Linked DNA regions of Notamacropus eugenii. The protein of the gene in region 2 purifies or fractionates together with the protein of the main gene of each other region. This does not show direct contact. Links are inferred from orthologs where the notes say so. Each region holds a gene or a part of one and is shown on either strand. Other genes may lie near its edges.

Region 1 (10,557 bases), on a different chromosome or scaffold from region 2:
TTCCCGGAATGCTAAGCTTCTTTCAAAGAGCAGGGCTCTCTGAGAATGCCACACCCTCTACTAAGCTGCACTATTGGTGGACCACAGGGGAGTGGGAGGTTTTAAGCTGTACTCTCCCCAATAATGCCCTCAGAGGGTGGAAGGGGGCTATCTGCCAAGGAGACAATAAAATGACACTCTCCACCCCCCACCCCCCCCTTTTTTTTTTTAACTCGGCAGGCCTGGTTTCACCTCGGTTATTTATAGACCTCCCTAAGCTCCCTCTGGGAAGTATGTTAGGGTGGGGCAGATAGTACCCCAATCCTAAGAGAAGGAGCCCAGCCAATCCTTGGCCTAGGCACCTGGGCTGTAGGAGAGCCTGGGGAATGGGAGGCAGCAGTTGCAGCCTAGTCCCCAAGAGGTGAGGGTTGGAGGGGGCATCGACCCAAGGCTAGAGAAGGCCCTAAGGAGGCCAAAGTAGCAGCTTCTTTGCTGTCCCTCCTCCCTCCCCACACTTACTAACTCGATAGCTTCCCAAGAGGGATCTCTCTGACTAGATGAGGAGACTGCTGGGGACCTGGGGACAGGAACCGCCTAGACTGAGGCCAAACAACAAACGCAGGGGCGTGGCCATGACTGAGAGAGAAGGCAGCCATGACTCAGTGGGATTCCTGGCCCCCTCACTCTAACCTCCTTGTCTTTCCTTGGGGGTTGCCTATGTGTGGAGGGCAAGAAATTTCCTTGACCCAACAAACTGGGGGTTGTTGTGGAAGGGGAAGTGGTAATGTATTTGAAGTTCATAGGATCATTAGAAATCAAATAGTTGAAATCACTCTCATTTTAAAGAGTAACAAATCAAGGAGCAGAGTAAGGAAGGGTTTGGTGTGGGATCACACAGGTAGTAGTAAGAAGTAGAATAGAAATTCAAATTCCAAATTCAGGATTCTTTCCACCACACCATACAGGGAAATTCAGGAGGGAAGTAGGAGAAAGGGGAGTCAGTTAAGACAGACCATGTGGGGGTGTATCTGAGTAAATAGGTGAGACTACCTCCTCTTTCCCAGTGCCTAGGTAAAAGCCCTGTAAGAGCAATGAACAAATGCTTATTGAATTATCGAACAACTGTTTTGAGTGTATGGGTATGTAATGCCAATCCTGGTGTGAAGACGCAACACATATCAATTGTGGCCTCTCAGGTAGGTGCATCTCTGTCTCTGCTGTGTTGTATACTTGGGGAGATGTGCGTGTTAGGAACCTTGGTGTGTAAACAGAAGTGCCCAGGAGACTGTAACTGTAAGTCAGGGGTACAGTGTAGGTTCAAAGTCCCTCTTCATACTGAAACAATCCCCTTTACTCCAGAGGTGCTTGCAATACCCCTCTTCTCCTGCACCAACGGTACACTCTGTGGTCAAGACACAAAGACAAATCCCCCTCAAGCTCCAATTTCCTGTCTCCCTTCCATTTCAAGGGAGCTTGGCAGTTTGTGTGGCACTGCCTACTCCCTTCCTAGGCAAGGGACCTTCATGAGCTAACCACTCAACCAGAGTGAGCAAGTAAGAGTCATGACAGCTGCTTTGTTAGTTCAAGGAACTGAAACTGAAAAGGACCTCCGCTCGAGTGTCATTCTAGCTATCATCACTGCAGAGTCAATGAAAGTGGGGCAAATGAGCAGAAGGAAGGGAAAAATGTCAAAGGTGACTAAGGGGGCAGAGGAACAGGTTTTATGCAGTTTAAGATTTTAAAGAGCACTGGAGAAGAATAGTTCACATTTATATAGCACTGTATAGTTTATAAAGAATTTAATACATATTATTTCATTTGATATTCACAATGATCCCATGACTATAGATGATTTCCAAGTTCCTTCCTGTCTAGCTCCTAAATCCTTATGGTCCCAAGTTGGTTTTGTAGGTATTATTATCTGCATTTTACAGAAGAGAAGACCTAGGTTTAGAATGGTTAAATCACTTGCCCAAAGTAAAACAGCTAGTAAAGAGCAGAACTAGGAACCTTGGCCTTGTGATATCCAAACCAGTATAATTTTCATTATAGCACAATGCTTCTACAAGAGATCAGAGTGGAATTCTTATGATGGGCAGCAACTTTCCTCGTTGTACTGGGATGCCAGTGGTGTCAAGATTTTCCCCTAGTTTGACTGAGATGCTTAATTTAAGTTGGCAAAGGGTTTATTGTCAAGCCAATTTAGGGTTTTGCTACTGTAAGGTGACAATAGGAAGGGAGAGGGTTACAGCTTAAAATTTATTATTGTAGAACTGCATGGGAAATTGTAATTTAGGACTCGTAATTACAGTCAGATGGTCTATTCCATCAGAAGGATGCCTTGGTTGGTAGATGGGAGACCAGCGTTCTAGTTTTAGCTAGGTGACTCTGTGACCTTGGACAAATCCCTAACCCTCTCTAATGCTCAGTCTTTCTGTTGATAATACAGAGACATCTCTGCCTTGGGCAGAAATGTCCTAGTAAGGATAAAACTTTGAGAATGGACCTGAAAAGTAAATGTAATATAGGAATGAAAAAGATTATTTATTATCAAAGTTAACTTGAAGGGAGGATGGAATAAGCATTTTATATAGCATCTACTATGTGCCAAGCATTGTGCTTTAAAAACATTATCTCATTTTGATCCTCACAACAACCCTCTGAAGTAGGATCTGTTATCATCCCCATTTTATAGTTGAGGAAACTGAGGCAAACAGGTGAAGTGACTTGTCTAGCGTCACAAAGCTAGCATGACCAAATATGAACTCAAGTCTTCCTGACTCTAGGCCCAGTTCTCTATCCACTGCACCAATTAGCTGCCTTGGTGGTGATGGTATAAAGTTTTTTCTAGATCCTCCAGTTCTCCCTCTGGAAAATACCTTTTTTCAACCTCTAACTTCTCTACGTTGTAGAACTTCAGCGTTAATGCAGGTGGTACACACATCTATCAAGTGTGGCCATCCATGACTCAGAATTTATTTGCTTTGAGAGTAAATTTCTCCCACCAGGAAGTCCTCCCTGGGTTTAAAGTGCAGGCCAGTTCAAGTTTTTAGCCATAGAAAATAGGTACCATAGGTAGCTATTCTTCCAAGGAAATTGAGGATGGTGTCCTGGCTGTACCAAAGATGAACCCTGCCACCTGGGTCATGTCACTTTCTGGATCTCAATTTCAACATCTATAAAACTCTGTGTGTGTGTGTGTGTGTGTGTGTGTGACTAAATGATCTCTAATTTTTTTTTTCTAGTTCTAATTTAGCTTTTGCTTTCTTAAGAGAAACTTTGTGGCACAACAGGGACTTGTTATTGTCAAGTTGTTCAGTAAAAAACAAAAATAAAAACTGCAACAAACACAAAACCAGGAGAGTTTATTTTGGGGCTGCTTAAGTCAAGGTGTCGATGATTAAGCTTATTCTGAAAATACGACTTAGGGTCTTTTCCGTGCCAGCATTTCTTTGGGGCTTCCCACCAGAGCTGTTTCCAGGTCCACTATTTCCCTTGTGCCCTTCAGTTGCATCTGAGTGATGGTGGGGCTGCGCAGGACCAGAGAGGAAGCCAGTGTGGTATAATGAAAAGAGCTCTAGACTGGGAACCACAAGACCAGGGCTCTAGTGTTGGTTCTGCCACTAATTAGCCGGGTGACCTTGGCCAAGTCACTTTGCTTTATCCATCTTCTCTTCTGTGAAAATGAGAGCTTCCGGCTAGAATGATTATCTTAAAAGTCTCTTCTAGCACTGAATGGCATGCTGTGTTTCTATAACCTAGAAGGGTATTCTATAGGGGGATGGATGCCAATCTATCACTTAAACTCTATCAGGGAAATACAGGTTGGACTACAGGTCCCAGCATGCAATACTTTGGGCATGCCGGGGCCTGGACTCTCATGCCACCCTAGTGCCCTGGAGGGCAGCCAGGCCAACCTTTTCTTTCCACTCAGAGTAGGAAGGAGAGGGAAGGCAGTGTTCCTCAGCAATCGGGTAGAAACTCCCTACTCCAGTACCTCAGTGTTCATGTAACCCTCTGAGTTGGCATCAGCAACCTTTCCTTAGTGGGCAGAAGCAAGGGTACCACCTCCCCCCCAAACATATTCACAAATACTCTTTCTGGGATACTAGAATAACCGGAATTGTGGCTGGACATCCCCTGTGGATGCCAGGCCTATGCTCACAACGACCCGGGCATGTGCAGCACCAGTGACAGCCAGGCTCCCACTTCCCCCACCCCCCACTGACCTCTCTCTCCATTGCCTGACACCCCGTTGGCCTCCACGCAGGACAAGGGGCAGTAGCCTATCCTTACTAAATCCCCACCGTCAGGCAGAAAAGCAGTGCCTAGGGACGTGTCCTTGTTTCCCCTAGGCCCAGGCTCCTAACCAGCCCGGGTCCAGCCTAGATCTTCCCATTGCCCTCGCCACCGAGCCTCTGGCCAGGGCCGGGAAGAAGCCTGCATTGTGCTGGGTGGAAGGACACTCACGACACAGATACACTCAACAGCCGCCCCCCAGCTCTCCGGCTCAGTCCCCCGGGTCTGGGCCAGGGGGCACGGAGCAATCCTACCGCAGCCCGGCCCGGCGCAGGGAAAGATTCCACTCGTGTGCGTGCGTGCGCGCGCCAGCTCGCGTGTTTGGGGGGGCGGCGGTAAAATCCACGGAGTCCATCAGATCATGCGACACCGTTCCCTCCTCTCTCCACCCCGCAAACAGCACAAAAACAACCTCAACAACGCCCCCCGAACAACGACCCAAAGCAACCCCAGGCCACGGAACTGAACAAGGGGAGGGGGAGACCACATCTGGATCCCCGGCAAAAGGGCGGGCGAGGGGGCGGGGGACTGAGCCCGGGAGGGCGCGTCGTGGGGGAGGGGGCACACCTGGACGGGGCAGGTGGGCGAAGAGGTAGGGTGGGGGCCCCCGAAAGCTGGATGCCCCGAGGGCGGGGGCTGCACACAGCGCGGGCCACATTTGGATCCCGGGTGCGGGTCTCGGGAAGATTTTCGGGAATGGAGGGTGGGGGCGCGGGGAGGGGGCGCCTACTCACCCTCGGGCGCAGACTCGGCTCCCGCTCCGAGGCTCAGGTCGGGGCTCGGGGCCGGGGTGGGCGGGGGCGGGGGGAGGGGGTGTCGCTGGGCAGCTCGGGCTCGGGGCTCCGGAGGCGGCCGCGGCTCCCGGCTGGGGGAGGAGGCAGAAGGGAGGAGGGAGGCGGGAGGAAGGAGGAGGGATTGGGCAGGAGGAGGAGGAGGGGCGGGGAGAGAGCTAAGTGAAGGGGGGGAAGAGGGAGGAAGGCGGGGGAAGGGAGGGGGAAAGCAGGAGGGGGCGAGGCAGCGTCGCCGCCGACCGCCCGGGGCCCACCCCCTAACGCACACATGGCGAAAGCACGCACGTACGTACGTACGCAGGCGTGGAATGGGGCCCGGGAGACCTTGGTGCGCAAGCGCTCTTCAAAGGCGGTGGGGCGGGGCAGGGGGCGCTGTGGAGTCGCGGTGCTGGAGCTAGTGGGGGCGGGGCAAAGTGCGCGTTTAACCTCCGGGTCTCGAGGTTTTCCCTAACTCGGCGGTGAGAGCGGTAATGGCGGGGACAGTTAAAAAAAAAGTTTTTCTTTCTTGTTGCTTTCCTCCACCTAATAGAGGCAACGAGGAAGGGAACACAGCGTGGTTTAAATGCCGAGGTCCTGATTAGGGGGAACAGGGCCAGCGGCACGAGGGGTCCTGGGGAGGGGAGAAGGATCCGGGCATGGTGGGGGAGGGGGTCCTGGTGAGGGGAGGAGCAGGGCGTGGTGGGGGAGGGGGTCCTGGTGAGGGGAGGAGCAGGGCGTGGTGGGGGAGGGGGTCCTGGTGAGGGGAGGAGCAGGGCGTGGTGGGGGAGGGAGTCCTAGTAGGAGTAAAAGAAGGGTAGGCAATGAAAGGGGAAGGCTTCTGATTTAGGGGAAAGATGTAGGGAAGGGCTTCTGGAGGGAAAAGTAGGTGACAAATGAGAGAGAGCTCCTGGTTGAAGTAAATGGCAGGTCCCATATAGGAAAGAGTGTAGGATAAGTGTCATGTCCCTCTGCACTCCCATACCTACATCTCTTTAATATATCTTTACGGTTTTTCTTCTCCCCACCCTCCCAGGAAAATTGTGATGGTGGTGGGGAATTGGCTGAACTGGGCACATCAAGCCAACCTTTGCCCATAGTTCTCCCTTCTTGCACCAGACCTGTGGCCCCTATCACCCTTGTGTGGAGATGAGGACTTACCTGCGTTCCCTAGCAATGAGTAGCCGCGTTGCTCCGTGGGTGCTTGTGCTGTAGTTAAGGCATTGAGAATGGCAGTGGATTCTGGTCTCCCTTTCCTTCTGCTCTTGTGGCATCAGCCTGTCACAGCTCTGAGGCTGCTCTCCCTCTTTTCAGCCAGTGTGGTTTTTTTCCCCTCCTCTTCGTCCTCTCTCCCTCCCCAACTCTTGATTTTGAGATGTGTCTTGTTTATTTATGTCCTTGCCCGGTATGCTTATGGAATAGGGAGTCATTCCCCTTGATGGACAAATTAATTCCTTGGACTGCAGTTATTTCTCTATGTTTTTATTTCACTAAAGATACAGAATCTATCTGCCAGGAACTAAAATGGTTGAGACGGTACTTTGAAAAAAAATGGGAAGCTCCAGTTTGTTCATCAAATCCAGAAAACCATAGAACTTTCCTGTCCCTATCTCATCCTCTTTGAAGTTTGGCGGAAGTAATTTTAGGACTAGTGAAAGTACTACTTTCCACAGCAATTGGTAATTGGTTTGTGTCGTTTGAAAATGTTAATAGCTTCAGGTGTTTAGGACTTTGGAAACCTTAAAAGCTCCACATAAATGCTAATTATCATTACTATAATAAATTTCAGATTGAAAGTTCCATAAGGGGTCAACATTTATTCAACAAATGTTTATTAGAACATATTGGGCAGTTATGGAAAGAGCCCTAGAGCTGGATTGGTCCCACCTTTGCAACTTAATACTTTCATGCCCTGACCATTCTGAGCCTGTTTTTTTTTTCTTTGAGGAGAATAATATATGTTCTTCCTGCTGACGAGTGAGACAGTAAAGTACTTTGTCACCTAAGGCATGCTTTGTGAATCTAAGTTATTGTTACAAACAGGGCTTAGAGATATTAGAAGTATAGCCCTAACCTGGTCAAATGGCATCAGAGAATAAGTACTATTCTCTCCTCCAAGCAGTCGGTGTTACTTCAGACAATGCTGAGTTGTACCACTGTTTGACTTGTCATGGTGATCTTTCGAACCTAAGGGTAAGATATACATTTTTCTCCTTTAAATTTTATCTTGTTAAATTTAGCCTAGGGTTCTAACCTTTTAAGGACATTTTTTTATTCTGATTCAATCAGAATTAGACATATTTGCTGACCCTGGCATTAAGTCATCTGCAGATTGATAATAATTTTTGTCTTTATCTAAGTCATTGATAATTGCTAATAGCGCAGGACCTAAGAGAAACCCCAAAGGGAGACTGTGGTGTGATGGAATCCCAGTGCTTGTGCTTGCTATTGTATGACTTGAAGTAAGTCATGTCCCTTCTTTGGGCTTCAGTTTGCACATCTTTAAATTGCAGGAGTTGGATTAGGACTAGGTGATCTTTTAAGGTCTCTTCCATTTCCGGATATCCTACATGATGTCTCCTTGTAATGTTAATGAAAGTTAAAGATCTTCCCCACCCGTTAATAGGCCTCTGTAGAGCCCATGAAGGGAAGTTTGATTAGGGGAGGCTTGTTTTGTAGGAAGGTGCACACCTTTTGTTAATTTCTATGGAGGCACTGGGTCCTGAGGGTTGTGTCTCCATGCCCTCAGGCTCTGAAAAGTGTGTGTGTGTGTGTGTGTGTGTGTGTGTGTGTGTGTACATATATGTGTGTATGTGTTGTATATACATATATATATATATATATATATATACACACACACAGTGAGGAGTAGTGGAAAGATCCCAGAACTTGGAGTCAGGAAATAAGGATTGAATCCTGGCTTTAATACTTTCATATCTGTGTATGACCAAATCATTTAACTCTAAGCCTATTTCCTGAAAATTGGGGTAGTAATACTTGGATTGCATATCTTCCAGGTTGTGATGAGGAAAGCTTTTGTTAACCCTAGAGTATGCTATATAAATGGTGCATTGATCATTACCTGACCATGGGATATGTAACAAGGTATATTAGGGATAGGAGAAAAAGACCTCAGCTTTATCCCTGGTAGCTTGTAAATGATAGAAAAGGTAACCCTTTTCAGCAGAAATAAATGTATATAAGTCTATTGAGGAGTAGAGTAGGTGTGAGGTTATTTTAGGGGGTTAGAAAGTTGACTGATTAGGGAAAGCTTCCTGCTGGAAGAGGTATGATTGAGAAAAAGACAAGTCACTATCTACCCAAAGTATGCCTGTTGAAATTTGGTGCCTAAGTTCATTAGTTCTGCATTCTTGTAGTTGTTGTGGATGGAAGGGAATTGTTTAGATTCTAAGAGATCTGGGAAATTTTTCTGTGAGGAATTCCTCTCTATACCTGTACTGCCATTTTTTGATGGAGTTTTCTGAGTACAAAATCTTGTAGTGTTCTAAGCATTTTATGATTGTAAAAACTTGTGTAACTCAGTGCCAGTCTAGCAAAATGCCTAAAGGCTTCAGCTTACCCTGAGCTCTTTAAAGAAAACCTAGCTAATATTAGTTGTGAATCAGTTGTTCAACATTTAGTAATTGCTTCCTGTGTGCCAGGCACTGTTGTGGATCTGAAATGTGTTTTGATTCCTAGATTATAAACATTTTGTATCTATGCTGCTTTTCTTTGCTGGGTAACATAATTTGTGTGTATAACACTTTGAATTTATGATGTGTTGTTAATACCAATATTACTATCTCCATTTTACAGATCATGAAACTGAGGCTCAGAGGTGACTTGACTTGTTACATCTAGTCAGCAGCACACCTAGGACTCAAACCTAGATCTTCTTCTAAATTCAGTTCTCCTCCCACCACACTTTGCTTCCCAGACTTTAACCTGGAGGGAGTACATGAGAGGCAGTATGGTACAGTGGGAAGGGCATTGGATTTAGAAGACCTGAGTTAGAATCCTGGTTCTGACCCCAGAATGTGACTATGGATAAGTCACTTAACATCTTTGAGCCTTGGTTTCTTCAACTGTAAAATGTAACTAACAGGCTCCTATGTTGTAAAGAAAGCACTTTGCAGACTTCAAACTGCCCTTTGAATATTATTATGATCCACATCATAATGTTTTCAAGTAGGGGAGTATCTCAGTACAACTGGAGGGAAACCAAAGAGAGAACACATTAAGAGAGAAAAGTGCCTGGAGTTGGGGCTTCTCAAAGAACCAGAAACCAACATAAGAGGTATCTGAGAGTATATTTGATATTTAGAGTTTCCTTTACTTTGGATAGACACTGAACCTCTTGTTACTGCTGAAGTCTGGCATTCTGCTGGACACCCTTACATCTAAGGGTGCTGTCTTGTCTACAGTGACCATGTTACAGATTCCCCAAGACAGTCCTGCTTTCAGGAGAAGAAGGGGTACTTTTAATAAGGCTTTACAAAAGAAGCAGAGTCCTTCATCAAACTATACCTACTAATTTTTGTTTCAGAACATATCACAATCCCTTTCAGAGCTTAGAATTTTTAAGGTTGGAAGAATCCTTCAGAGATCAGTTAGTAGAGTTCTTTCTCTGTCTTTGGGTAGTGTTATACCCAGTTATCCAGACTCATTTGTCTATTGTCAAAAATATTTTTGACCCATTTGAGGACTTGGGGAGGAAGATATTTTATTTTAAAATTAGGCCATAGAGAGTGTTGTTCCAGTTAATTTTTCACTTCCAAAAACTCACCAAGTGCTTTCTAAGAGCAGAGCACTGTGTTAGGATCTGGAGGAGATTGGAGGCTGCCCAGTTAATGCTACATCAATAATAATAGTGTTAGCATTTTGTTTTGTCCCTTTTTGTGAGGTCAGGGTGGAGTGGAAGTTCTTAAGTAGCTGTGGAGTGGGGAGAGGCAGGAAAAGCTTAGCGAAAGAGGTGGTATTTGAGTTAGATTTTAAAAGATGGATAGGAATTCTGTGGGCAGAGACTGCATTCCAGGAGTATGGAAGTATCAGTAAAGATACAGAGCTGGGAGCTCGGCCAGTGGGAAATGGCGAGTGGGTCCTGCTTGGCAGGAGCATAAAAGGTGTGGGGGTAACATGAGATGGAAAGCTGGGAAAATAGGATGGTTTCAGATTTTGTAGTTCTAGGTTCCAGGCAAAACAGAAATAGACAGTAAAGAGGGACTGAAATGTTTTGAATAGATGAGTGGCATGACCAATTTATATACCAAGAAAATAAGTTTGGCATTCATTCAAAGGATGGACTAGAGGTGGGAACTTATCATAATGTTATTATAGTAATTAGCTAGGTGGTAATGAGCCTATGTGCAGTTGGAGCAGTTGGGATAGAGAGGATTGTTATGTTATGGATTTGAATAGGTTTTTTGTAACTTACTGGATATAGTAGATTAAGGGGACGGGAGTCCAAAATAAGGTTTTGAACAAGGCTCATTATAGTCTCTTTTGATGGTGG
Region 2 (10,994 bases):
AGGAGGGTCCCTTTCGATTTGGTTCAATAGCTTTTTGTTGTGACTCCATAGTGCAGGGAAAAGAATTTGGGGCAGGGGGTTTTAAACAGATAGGAAGGAAAAAGCATTCCTTTGGATAACTTCTATTGTCTCAGACAGAATAAATATTTATAGAAAAGGTTCAAGTGAACTCATTTGTAATCTGCTAAAGAGGCATTTGGGAGACTTAAATGTAAAACTATACCTAAGTGAATGCTTATCAGATTATTTTTCCCAGGGAAAACCAAGAAACCTAAAGTGTACATAAAATCTAATTGTATTCTCAAATAAAGTTGAATACCGCTTTAAATTATCCTAGATTTACACACCACAGTGAGATACACAATGAATTGGGATTCAATTCTAATGTTTTCCTTGCAAAAGAGCTATCATTTGCCTCGAACAAATGTGATTTGTTTCACAAAGGAGACATTAGAATTTTCCCTCCAAAATAGTGTCATTAATGACTGCTGATGTCCAAATACTGTCTTAATTATTTCATAGTTCTGAATTTGGAGGAAATTGTCTACAGCAACCTGCTCCAGCTGTAAAGGAAAGTGATGAAGTGTTTGTTGCCACTTGGAAATCATGTAAATCTTTAAAAAATGGAAACTGCAGCTGAAATTTGCTCAAGATCCTGGAGGCTTACACAATCTAATGTAATTAAGACACTTACATTACACAACTCATCTTGTGCAAAAATTGGAAAATATGGGCTGTTTTAGTTTACCCTTAAGCTCTGACATCATCACTGTCAAATGTCAAGCTTTTTCACTGATTCTCCCTGGGAGGGAAATTATTCTTTCTAAGGACAAAATCATATTAGATAGAAGAAATCAAAAGGAAAGGCCTTTAGCCACCTTAAATTGTATGTTATGATTCTAAGCTTAGATGCCCTTTAAAAGAAAATCAAATTGACTGGATGCCTAAACCCACTGATAATGATTACAGCTTTTCAATAGTCCAAACCTAAGGAAATTTGAAGTATTTGTGGTACTCAATCTCATACTGTCTCATTACCCCCCTCACCCCCACCCCAGACTATGGCCTAGAAGGATCAGGAGGATTATCTTTCATGCACGTTGGCTCCAGCCTGAAAAGCTTTTAACCAGCACCAGAAAGTCTAAACAAAGTCAACCACAGAGATACAAATGGAACACCAAATAGTTTTCCTTTTCCTTTTATTAACAGCTTAACACAGACTGTATGCTGCAGGTTTTTAAACTAAGCCAATACTGAAAAAACCATCTAACACTTGACTCAAGGGTTTTGGTTATAAGTGCCAATGTCTACATCAGAATTACACTAGTGTAAACCATACAATTTTCAGAAGAATAGGGAAAAAACAGTTGAAACTGGAATGGAAAGATAATTTATGTACAAACAGTTGAGCAGAGTTTTTCTAGCTTTAAGTCATTCACCACACACTCTAAAAGTGTTTAAGTTCACATTTTCTACAGCTATACAGACAAATATTAAAAGTAGCAAACCAAGCATTGGCCACAGGTCCTGCCTAGACATTCATCAACACGCAACGTGAACAAATTTATATAAATAAACCAATTAAACATAACAAAAACACCCCTAAAGTAAAAAACAAACAAACAATAAATTCTGACAGTAAATAATAAGCTGTACATTATGGTCAGTCTTTTGTATCTCAAAAAAAAGAGTAACTTTAAAAAAAAGTTTTTATTATAAAAAAAATTCTTTAGATGTTGAAAGATGATGTTAGCTGGAGTGGAAACTTGAGGATTCTGACTCAGTAGAAACAGATGAGTGTCCTCCCCTCTTGCCCTTTGAAAGTATCTTAAGGCTGGAGCCTCTGCTAACTGATGTCAGTGCATTTTGTGCAGAGGTTTTAAATTTGGCACCAAGAAAGGCATACAGAATGGGATTCAGGCAACAATGAAAAAAGGCCAATGCCTCTGTGATGGAGATCCATTTGTGTACGGCGGTATCAAAATCACAGTCCTGCTTGATCACTTCCAGGAGAACAAACGTGTCTATACTGATTCCAATGTAGTAAGGCAGCCAACAGGCAAAAAAAGCCAGAATAAGTATGACTGTTGTCTTCAGGGCTTTTCGTTTCTGGTGACCCTTTGAATGGGACAGCTTGGAAATGATAATGCAGTAACAGGTCAGAATAATTAGGCCAGGTAAAACAAGTCCAACTAGGATATGCTGAAACCGGAAAGAAATCAGCCAGTTGTCATGAGGATATACCCGGTCACAGAAGTACCTTCCGTTAGCTTCACCTGTGTTGGCAAAAATGATGTCTGGAACCGTGAGCAGGAGAGCAGGCAGCCACACACCTAAGTACACCACCTTTTCTGCCAACAGCTTTCTTGGTCTCTGACTGTTGGTTGCATGAACGATTGCCAGGTATCGGTCTAAACTAATAAAAGCCAGAATCAGGACGCTTCCATAGAGGTTGACTGTATAAATGACATGCACTGCCTTGCACAGAAATTTTCCAAAGTACCAGCTTGCAGCAGCATCCACGGCCCAAAAAGGCAGAGTGAGAACAAACAGGAGATCAGCTACTGACAAGTGCAACCTGTACTTGTCGGTCATGCTTCTCAATTTCTTCTGGTAACCCATGACAATGATAACCAATCCGTTGCCCACAATGCCGGTCAGAAAGATGAAGGTGTATACTGTAGGTAGAAAGATGCGGTTGAAATCCTCGTTTTCATGCCGGAAACATGGCTCTTTGCCATCGTAATCACCTGAGCCAAAACCATCTGAACTGTTGTTATCATGAAGCTCGATGATGAAGCCTGTATAGGACTGCAAGAAAAGAGAATAAGAAAAGTAAATGACAGGAAATGACAAAACCAGTACTTATCTATCAAGTTATATGACTCCAAAGTTTTTCTTAAACAAAAGCAATCCAAATTCTCCCATTTCCCCTAAAAAATTCTTCCAAGGGGAAACAATTTTCCTAGGGAAGGGTGCCCTTACAATGGCACCATTTCTTTTAAAACCCCATTCCTTTCCTCATCTACAACTCCTACAGTAATCTAATAGCTTGGATTTTTCTGTTAACCTCAGAATTCTCATGGAACCTCTCAGCCAAGCTCAACAAAAGAAACTTAAAGAAACATTCTTCCGAGTCGGGACAGGTTGGGGTTGGAGGAAGGGGGATTCGATCCATCGTGGCTAGGTCAAAAGCATAATAGCACGAAAAACAGGAGATAAGAGAAAGGACAGCTTAAGCGCATCAAAAAACCCCAAAACAAAACTCTGTTCTCCATTGAGGAAACTTTTTTTTTTAAAGCACAAGCTATAGTGTCCTTGCAATCACATATGGCCAGTATAGGGATATCTGTCAAAACAGTATGCTTGAGGAGTGTCCGGCAGGCATGGAAAACCGTGCTCGTTAATACGTACACCTTCCGCCCCCCCAAGTGTTTATTCCTTCAAGGTTATTCTAGTTTGCTGAGCGGATCTCCGCTTCCCTGGGTGGAGAAGGCGCTGTTGTTTGGGTCACGCGTTCTGGACTCTACCTCCTCGCCCCAAGTTTCATTTCCTCCCTCTATCTTGTTCCAACATCAACCCACTGTCTAGTAGTAATGTTCCCCCCTCCCCACTTCCCTCCCTCCCACCCCACACTAGCCTGGCTAATGGGATCTAGAGGGCAGCAGCTGGAACTCGCGCACTGGGAAGCGATCAGCCTGCTGTCCAGTGTGAATATAAACTGTCCACCATCCTCAAGGCACTCTCCTTCCCTTCCCCCGATTCCCCCAACTTTACTCTTCTCCCCAGGCAACTAGGTTAGCCAGAGCCCTGAAAGCACTCTCCATAAGCCCGTACCACCCTCCCTAGATGACTCGCACCGTGCATGCCGCTGCGCATTTTAGAGAGCCTGGCGGCTCCACCCTGGTTGCCTTTGAATCGCGCGCCACTGTGGGAGGAAGCGAAAACTATGAGGTGGGGGGTTCAAAAAGCAAGAGGAAACCGCCGACAGTTAAACAGCAGCATTTTGAACCAAACCGATTAGTACGCTTGCACCCACCCTCCATCCCCTTCCCCCTGGATGCAATTCAGCCGAAGACGATGTCGCGCCCTCCAGGGTAAGGACCTCCCCAACCTAGCGCACCTCCGGGTCTAGCTCCTGGAGGTGACTCAAGCCAACAGCCGCACACTGCTTGGAGACGCCCGACGCCAAAGCGAAGATCCCGGAGCTCCTGACCTACCACAACGGCACGGCGTCTGCAAATCCCAATTCCAAAGAAAGAGCAAGGCTACCCTATACCATAGGCTTTTAAGACTTATTAATGAGACTTGCAGTCTCCAGAGGGAGTTTGTGAATTACTCCAAGTCCGACCCTGCATTCCCTCTGCCAGCACTCCCCCACAAAGAACCTAGTTCATCCCCGGGCACGGAATAGATCGCTTTGGGAGGCAGGAGAGGGAATAAAAAATGTTTTCTTTGCTCCTTCTTTTTCCAGGTTGAATCTGGGAACCTGAGCGGTTCTGAGGGAGGTGCACACGCACCTACTGGACAGAAAACCAGGCGCACCCTTTACAAATGTCACCCACCCGGGAGTTCACTTTCCCTCTCTTTCCCCGGTCCGCTAGTGCAGCCGTTTACCCCAATTCTTGCTTTTTCTTCCTTGGGGCTCCCGGCAGCCAGTTCCTTCCCATGCACTTGCCACATCTGCACTGAATGCACCTTTTTGTTTGCAAACAATGCGAAAGAAAGCAAGCCAGTGCACGGTCCTACCCAGTCACTCACGCTCATCTCTGTAGCCCAAGTCAAGTCTCAAGGAAAAAAGAGGAGGAGCTGCAAACCCTACTTCTATTTCATTCTGCCACCCCTAGGAATAATTTCTGCCAGTTGCCCCTTTGAGTGCTGTGAGCCCTGCAAACGGGCATCCTCTAAAAGTTAGGCAATCGGGCAGCTGCGGTCTCTGCCAAGAGAAATGCATTTGCAGCCAGAGAAATAAGGAGAGCAGAGCTGAACTTACATCCAGATCATCTCCGCTGTTCGAACTCATGCTTGCAGCAGCAGCCTCCGCCCAGACACACTACTTTCCAATCACTTCGCAACCCTCAGCCACAACCAACAAACTCCGAAGTTTCTCGGAGAGCCGGACTTTTATAAATCACGCTCGGTGGCGGAACAGCGCATGCGTCCCACCCGCTGGAGTGATGATGGGGAACTGCTTTGCTTTGAGTCCTTTGAATACACGGGGCGGGGTGTGTGGGGGGGAGGGAGGAGAGGGGAGGTGGGGAGACAAGGGGCGGGAGAAGGGCACCGCGGTTAGTCTGGCGGAGTCTGTTAGGGAAGCCCCTGTACAATGCACGCAATGAACTTCGTCACGTAGTGTTGTTTTTTTGGCGGGGAAGGTGGGGAAGGAACTGAGATGGAGGCACGTTAGAACTGGCCCCTATTTTGGTCCTCCTCTATGAAAAAAGATTCTCTTAGAATCCCTTTTTAATGTGGGATGTGAGAGCTGGAAGGGACCGTCTTGTCCTGCCCCATCTGAGGACCAGGAGAGACTTGCCTAGGGTCACAGAGCTGGTTTCTCTAGCAGAGCCTGGAGTTTCCAGTCTCAGTTCAGGGCAGTTTTCACTGCTGCAGATCAGCACCCTATTTTTATTTTATTTTATTTTTTACAGAGGGATTCAATAAGGGAACATCTATTTGGGACTTTTTCACTTAATGAGTAACAAGGGAAAGTGGGGCCAGGAGCGGAGGATAAGAATCAATCAGAAATCACGTATTGAAAAATTTAAATGCTAAAGGGGTGGGGATGAGAACGCAGAGGCAGACTACAAAACCCATTACTATTACCTTCAACGCGTCAGGCAAGTTGCAGGTGAAGTAATTCAAGAAAAAAGAAATTAATCGCCGCATAGCTATATGCCCTGGCCAATAATCTTACTTAAATGCAGAATAGAATGGTACTATATGAAGAAGAATCTGGAGAAACTGCTCTCAAAAGCCTTCCTGGAGTAGATGGGGTTTCAACCAAATTTAGTGCTTCTCTCTCTTACAGAGGAAAAAAAATGTTTCAATCAGTCAGTCCAATCCACAAGCATTTATTAAGATGTTTCTCAAGTCAGTGGAGGATACAGGGACAAAAGTGGAAGAGTGGGGTATGGTTTTTGTGAGGGCGATGAACAAGGAAACAAATCTTGTGTTAGCTTGAGAAAGGAGCCAGGACAGCCGAGGCTGGGGAGATGGAGCCTCTGTGCACTATTTGGATGCTAGGCTAAAGAGGTGCAGATATCACAACGGAAAGCCACCTCATCTGCCCCCTTTTTCTTTCTTCGGCTGCCTCTCAGCCTTCTATCACCAGGATGGGCGTTATGTCTGTATAAGGCAGGGGGAGCTGTGCAATCTGAGGAGAGTGGGAAGGCGGGACCAAGAGAGGACGTGCCAAGCTGCAGCAGGTTGGGCATTTTTCTTGACGCATCCTACCGTCGTCTCTGTAGGAATATAGAAACCAAGCCAGATACTTCACCCCAACCTCAGAGCCTCTGGGGTACCCGTAAGAAATGTTTTTGTGAAAATAAAAGTTTGAGGCTCAGTTTCTTCAGAGGATTTGTTTTGCCTAAAATCCACTGGTCACATCTGATTTCCTACCGTCTGCTGTCGAAGGTCTTTGTCCCCCCAATCTCCTTCCCATTTAGCGCTCTTTTGTCCATCACCCTGAAAATATAACTGGAAAGCTGGAATTTAGCAAAATGTCTCAGAGGCTGACATTTTAGGGAGGTACCGTTTGATAATGTTACAAGGGGCAGTGCTGGGCAATACATGGAGGGGCTACCTTAGGCACCACACAGACCATGGGTTCAGTTCCTGTCTGGATACAAACTGTGTGAGTTTGTCAAGTAGCTTAACCTCTTAAGTGTCTCCTGTGCATCTCTTCAGAAATATTGTTACTTGTTGCACGTATGGTCACGTGGAGTTCCCTACTCGGATAAAATCACAGTTCCAGACCTAAAATAAAGTGAAACAACACCGCACCACACTTCTTTCCTGTAATCACCTAAAACCTTTCTAAGGAGTCTTCACATCTTTTGTCTCATTCGATCCTTACTGCAGTCCCATGAAAGCAGATAGGGCAGGCAGTATACTCATTTTCCAAATGAGGGAAATGACTTAAGGGTACATGGCTTTGTAGTGGCAGAGTTGGGAGGGGAAGTTCTTTTAAGTCCCAGCTCTGCCTTCCTTCTGTGCTAGACCATACCCTACCAGCATTAGGCATATTTCTTACAGTCTCTTTCTTGTTTTCTTCCTACATTGTTACTGTATTTTTTTCCTCCAGGGTCATTGAAGGCTCATTTGACCTCAGAACTTCAGTAGAAGCTGAAACTCAAAGAAGCGAGGTCCTCCCACTCAGATGGGCAAAATAAAGGAAGGGGGATGGTTTAAAACAATGAATATTTGTTGACTGATTTCGAACATAAAGTAGGTCTCCTTTAAGTAAATAAAACAAGAAAACATGGCGGGAAGGAGGGGAAGAAAAAGCACTGGACTTGGAAACAGCAGATTTGTCTCTTTGGAGGCAGTTAATAAGTGGCGAAAGTTGGACTTTCCCCATTAACTACCTATTCAACATAGGATGAGTCACTTCATCTTTATGGGTTTCAAGGTCCTTTATAAAATATGAGGGCTAGATGAGGTGATTTCTAAAGGTCTCTTTTAGCTTTGCCTTTGAGTCATGAGGTCCTTTTAGGCAGCTCTGGTATCGGGTTAGGTTTTACTCTCAACCAGAAGTGTCAGTACAGAATAGAGTACATAGATACTTTAGCTGGTCACCTCTTTCTTCCCTACTCACCCAGCAATTTCCCCTTTTGTCCATACTCAAGTTCTAACTCAGGTCATGGCTTCTGCAAGAAGCCCTACCTGACTATTCAAGTTCATAATATTATTTAGTGCCCAAAACATAGCAAATACTTAATAAATGCTTTTATCTGTCTATCTGTCTGTCTGTCTATCTATCTATGTATCATTGATCAGTCTGACATTCTTTCCACCCAAAGCATCATAAGCTTTAGAATTGAAAGAAATCTTAAGAAATAATCTCTGGAATTTCTGAAGAGCTAACTCCTACTCATTTGGCTTTTGATAATATGCTGCCTTTCAAGAGCTTTTATATTATTATTTAACTTTTTCTCTATGTGTATCTTATCTTTTCAAAGATTGTAAATTTTTTCAAGGGAGGGTCCAGACATCCCCTACCCAAATCTAATTCATTGCTGAGCAAATGGCAAGCATTCAATAAATATTTGTTGGTAGAATGAATGAATATCCTGTGTGGTTCTTGTAACAGATCTAGAGTTAATGCTGCTTTGGCCGGGTTTCTAAATTCTCAAGCTGTCTCTAACCCAGAGAATGACTGGGTTTTGGTCGCAGCATGGAGAGGATGCTTAAAAATTCAGAGACACCGTGGCAAGCATCCTGCCACCTCCTGTTGCTCCTGCTGCAGCTGGTTGATTTGTGTGTATATGTGTGAGGATGACAGAAAGCTGTACTTCTCTCCAACATTCCCCCCCACCTTCTCTCACCCTGGCATTGTTGGCTTGGAAGTCAGACTTGGTGAAAGTTTCAGGACAGGCTCCCTGGTGGAGTGAAATGTCTGAAGTGAAAGGGATCAAGGGCACAGCATTCTCACCGCCCTCTCCTGTTCTTTAAAAGAAAAATGGCTGTTTTTGTCCCTCAAAGAAGAAAAGTCAAAACTTCTTTGATGGGAATGGTGGGTACTCAAAGGGACAAAGTTAATGTTTTTCCAAGTGATAAAAAAGAGAGGCTATTTCCGTAGAAGCATGTAATTCTAGGAGAGGGCTACAAATCTTAAAGAGACAATGCTATCGAATGACAACCATTTCCAAATGGGTGTGATGGGGGTGAAATGTCAACCCCCTTCCCCCAACAAAATGACTTTGGAAAATAGACCTATGCCCTCTCTTTAGCCAGTCATGTACTAGCTTATGAAAAAAACCCCAAAGATGCAGATCTTATGAGGACCCCTAAATCTCTGGATCATGTTGTGTTTCTAGCATGTTCTAGTTTGTTGTCCAAGCTTTGACATTCACTAGTTATAGGATCCTGGACAAATTGCAACCTTAGTTTCCCTATGAAATAAGAATGACAATAGCAAATTACTTCTCTTGCAATGTTATGTTAAAGAATTTTTCTATGTAATATAGATATGCTAATGAAGCAGCCAGGTGGCACAGTGGATCAGAAGTGGATCAGTCCATCCGAAGTGGAACCAGGGAGATCTGAGTTCAAGTCTTGTCACAGACACAACTAGATGTTTTGACTCTAGGAAAAGTTGCATAGTCTCTCTCATCCTGGTTCCTTCTCTGGCAAAAAAAATGGGTATAATAATAACACCTACCTTCTTAAGCTATCATTTTAAAGTCCTATAAAATTCTGGTTGTTTTTTGAAAGTAAAATCTGTAACAGAAATCAAGGAAACTGTTCCAAAAGTTCCAACAATGGGCATGTATAGAGAAGGGGGAAGGGAGAGGAAGACTGGATTAGTAAACAACTATAGTTAATTTAGTGTTCCCTGTTGAGCCACAGTAACAAAGCAGCCACTTAATTAACAATATAATCATCATTACTTGACTAATTCCATTGCTAGGAGGATGAATTGCCCTGAAGTTTGCTCTGCTAATGTGACAGGTGTTCCCGGCTCTACCATGTGAAATACACAGAGTTGCTACTGGTGTTGTCTAAAATCAGAGTATGTTGCTTGGAGAAGGGCATGACTTCAAGGAAATAATCAAGTGCAAAAATCCTGTTCTCCATGGAAAACGCTTGTCATTGTTTTCCTTAAGCATGTAATTTATTAGCACTGACCTTGGTAAACTGTATCACAAGTACTCTCTGGTGGATACACAGCAGCTTTCTGAAGAGACCAGAAACACATTGCGTTAGGTTCAGAAACCCGCTGCAGCAAGAGGACAAACAAATATGTTCTGAAATCTGCTCTGGCTCACTAGCCACAGTTCAACATTATCCCGAGGAACAAAGAAGGATGCTTTCAGCCGCCTGCAATCTGCTGCGATGCTGTCCCCTCCCCCTCCCTGCCCCTTCAGGCTCCAGGCTCTATGGGAGGGCTGGCGGACAACTCGGAGAGAGGGGATGCCCCTGGGGGTCACTGGCAGGCCCTAGGTACTGGCTGCTTGGAATGGAAGAAAGGGAAAAGAAAAAGGGAAGGGACCATATGTCAGGGCAGTGGTGGAGTGTCAACGACATTTGCCTCCTGTGATGCTCCGGGGCATTCGCTGCATAGTTTGCCTGTCCAGAGCTGGAGAGAGATTAGTCTTCTAAATGTAGGCTCCTGTAGGGGATGCTTCTAGTTAGTCTCATACTACTTGTCAGGTCAGCGTTTGGAACCCCAAAGAGGATTATTGGCCTACCTGCTGCTGGGCTATGTTCTCATCCTTGCCAGCCCCCCTCCCCCACTTCCCCAGTTATCCTCTCCCTTCCCCCCCACCTCCCAGTTGTGTCTGTGGATGACTAATGGACTCAGGGGGGTTTGTTCCCTTAGCGAATGGAGTTTCAGCTCTTTACCTGTGGCAGAGAACTTAACTCAACTAAGGGTTCTTATTCCCTTGAAGCAAGGGAAAAGAAACTTTTCACACAGAGAAGACGCAGGCAATAGATAGTAGCACTAAGGTAGGATTAAGAGGGCATTCCTCTTTCCTTGTTACCAGTAGAAGATTGTACTAGAGGAAAAGTAACAAAGGGTTCCTTAAGTGTACAAAGAAAGCTCCCTCATTGGATCAAAGAATCATAGCAGGATAGAAATCTAGAGCCTTAGAGGTGTCAGGTCCTGAAATAAATCAGATCTATAAGTGAAAGTTGTCTAGTCCAACCATCTCACTTTATGGATGAGGAAACGGAGACTCAGAGAAATTCAGTGACTTGCCCAAAGTCACACAGGTCATAAGTATGGGAGCCAGTGTTCAAAACCATATTCTCTCACTCTAAATTCATTA

The links.
Region 1: the proteins of CXCR4 (region 2) and TMEM63B purify together in Homo sapiens (co-immunoprecipitation; 3 studies listed by BioGRID and IntAct, with this or other methods). This does not show direct contact. The link is inferred for Notamacropus eugenii from reciprocal best matches to the Homo sapiens genes CXCR4 and TMEM63B.

The regions. Positions count from the first base shown.
Region 1 is NC_092873.1:107,530,617-107,541,173, reverse strand, and holds the start of TMEM63B (CSC1-like protein 2), read right to left. Parts: upstream 5,147-10,557; 5' UTR 5,013-5,146; intron 1-5,012. UniProt on the Homo sapiens protein: Mechanosensitive cation channel with low conductance and high activation threshold. Osmosensitive cation channel preferentially activated by hypotonic stress.
Region 2 is NC_092876.1:297,781,423-297,792,416, reverse strand, and holds CXCR4 (C-X-C chemokine receptor type 4), read right to left. Parts: upstream 5,193-10,994; 5' UTR 5,024-5,192; coding exon 4,994-5,023; intron 2,812-4,993; coding exon 1,750-2,811; 3' UTR 1,183-1,749; downstream 1-1,182.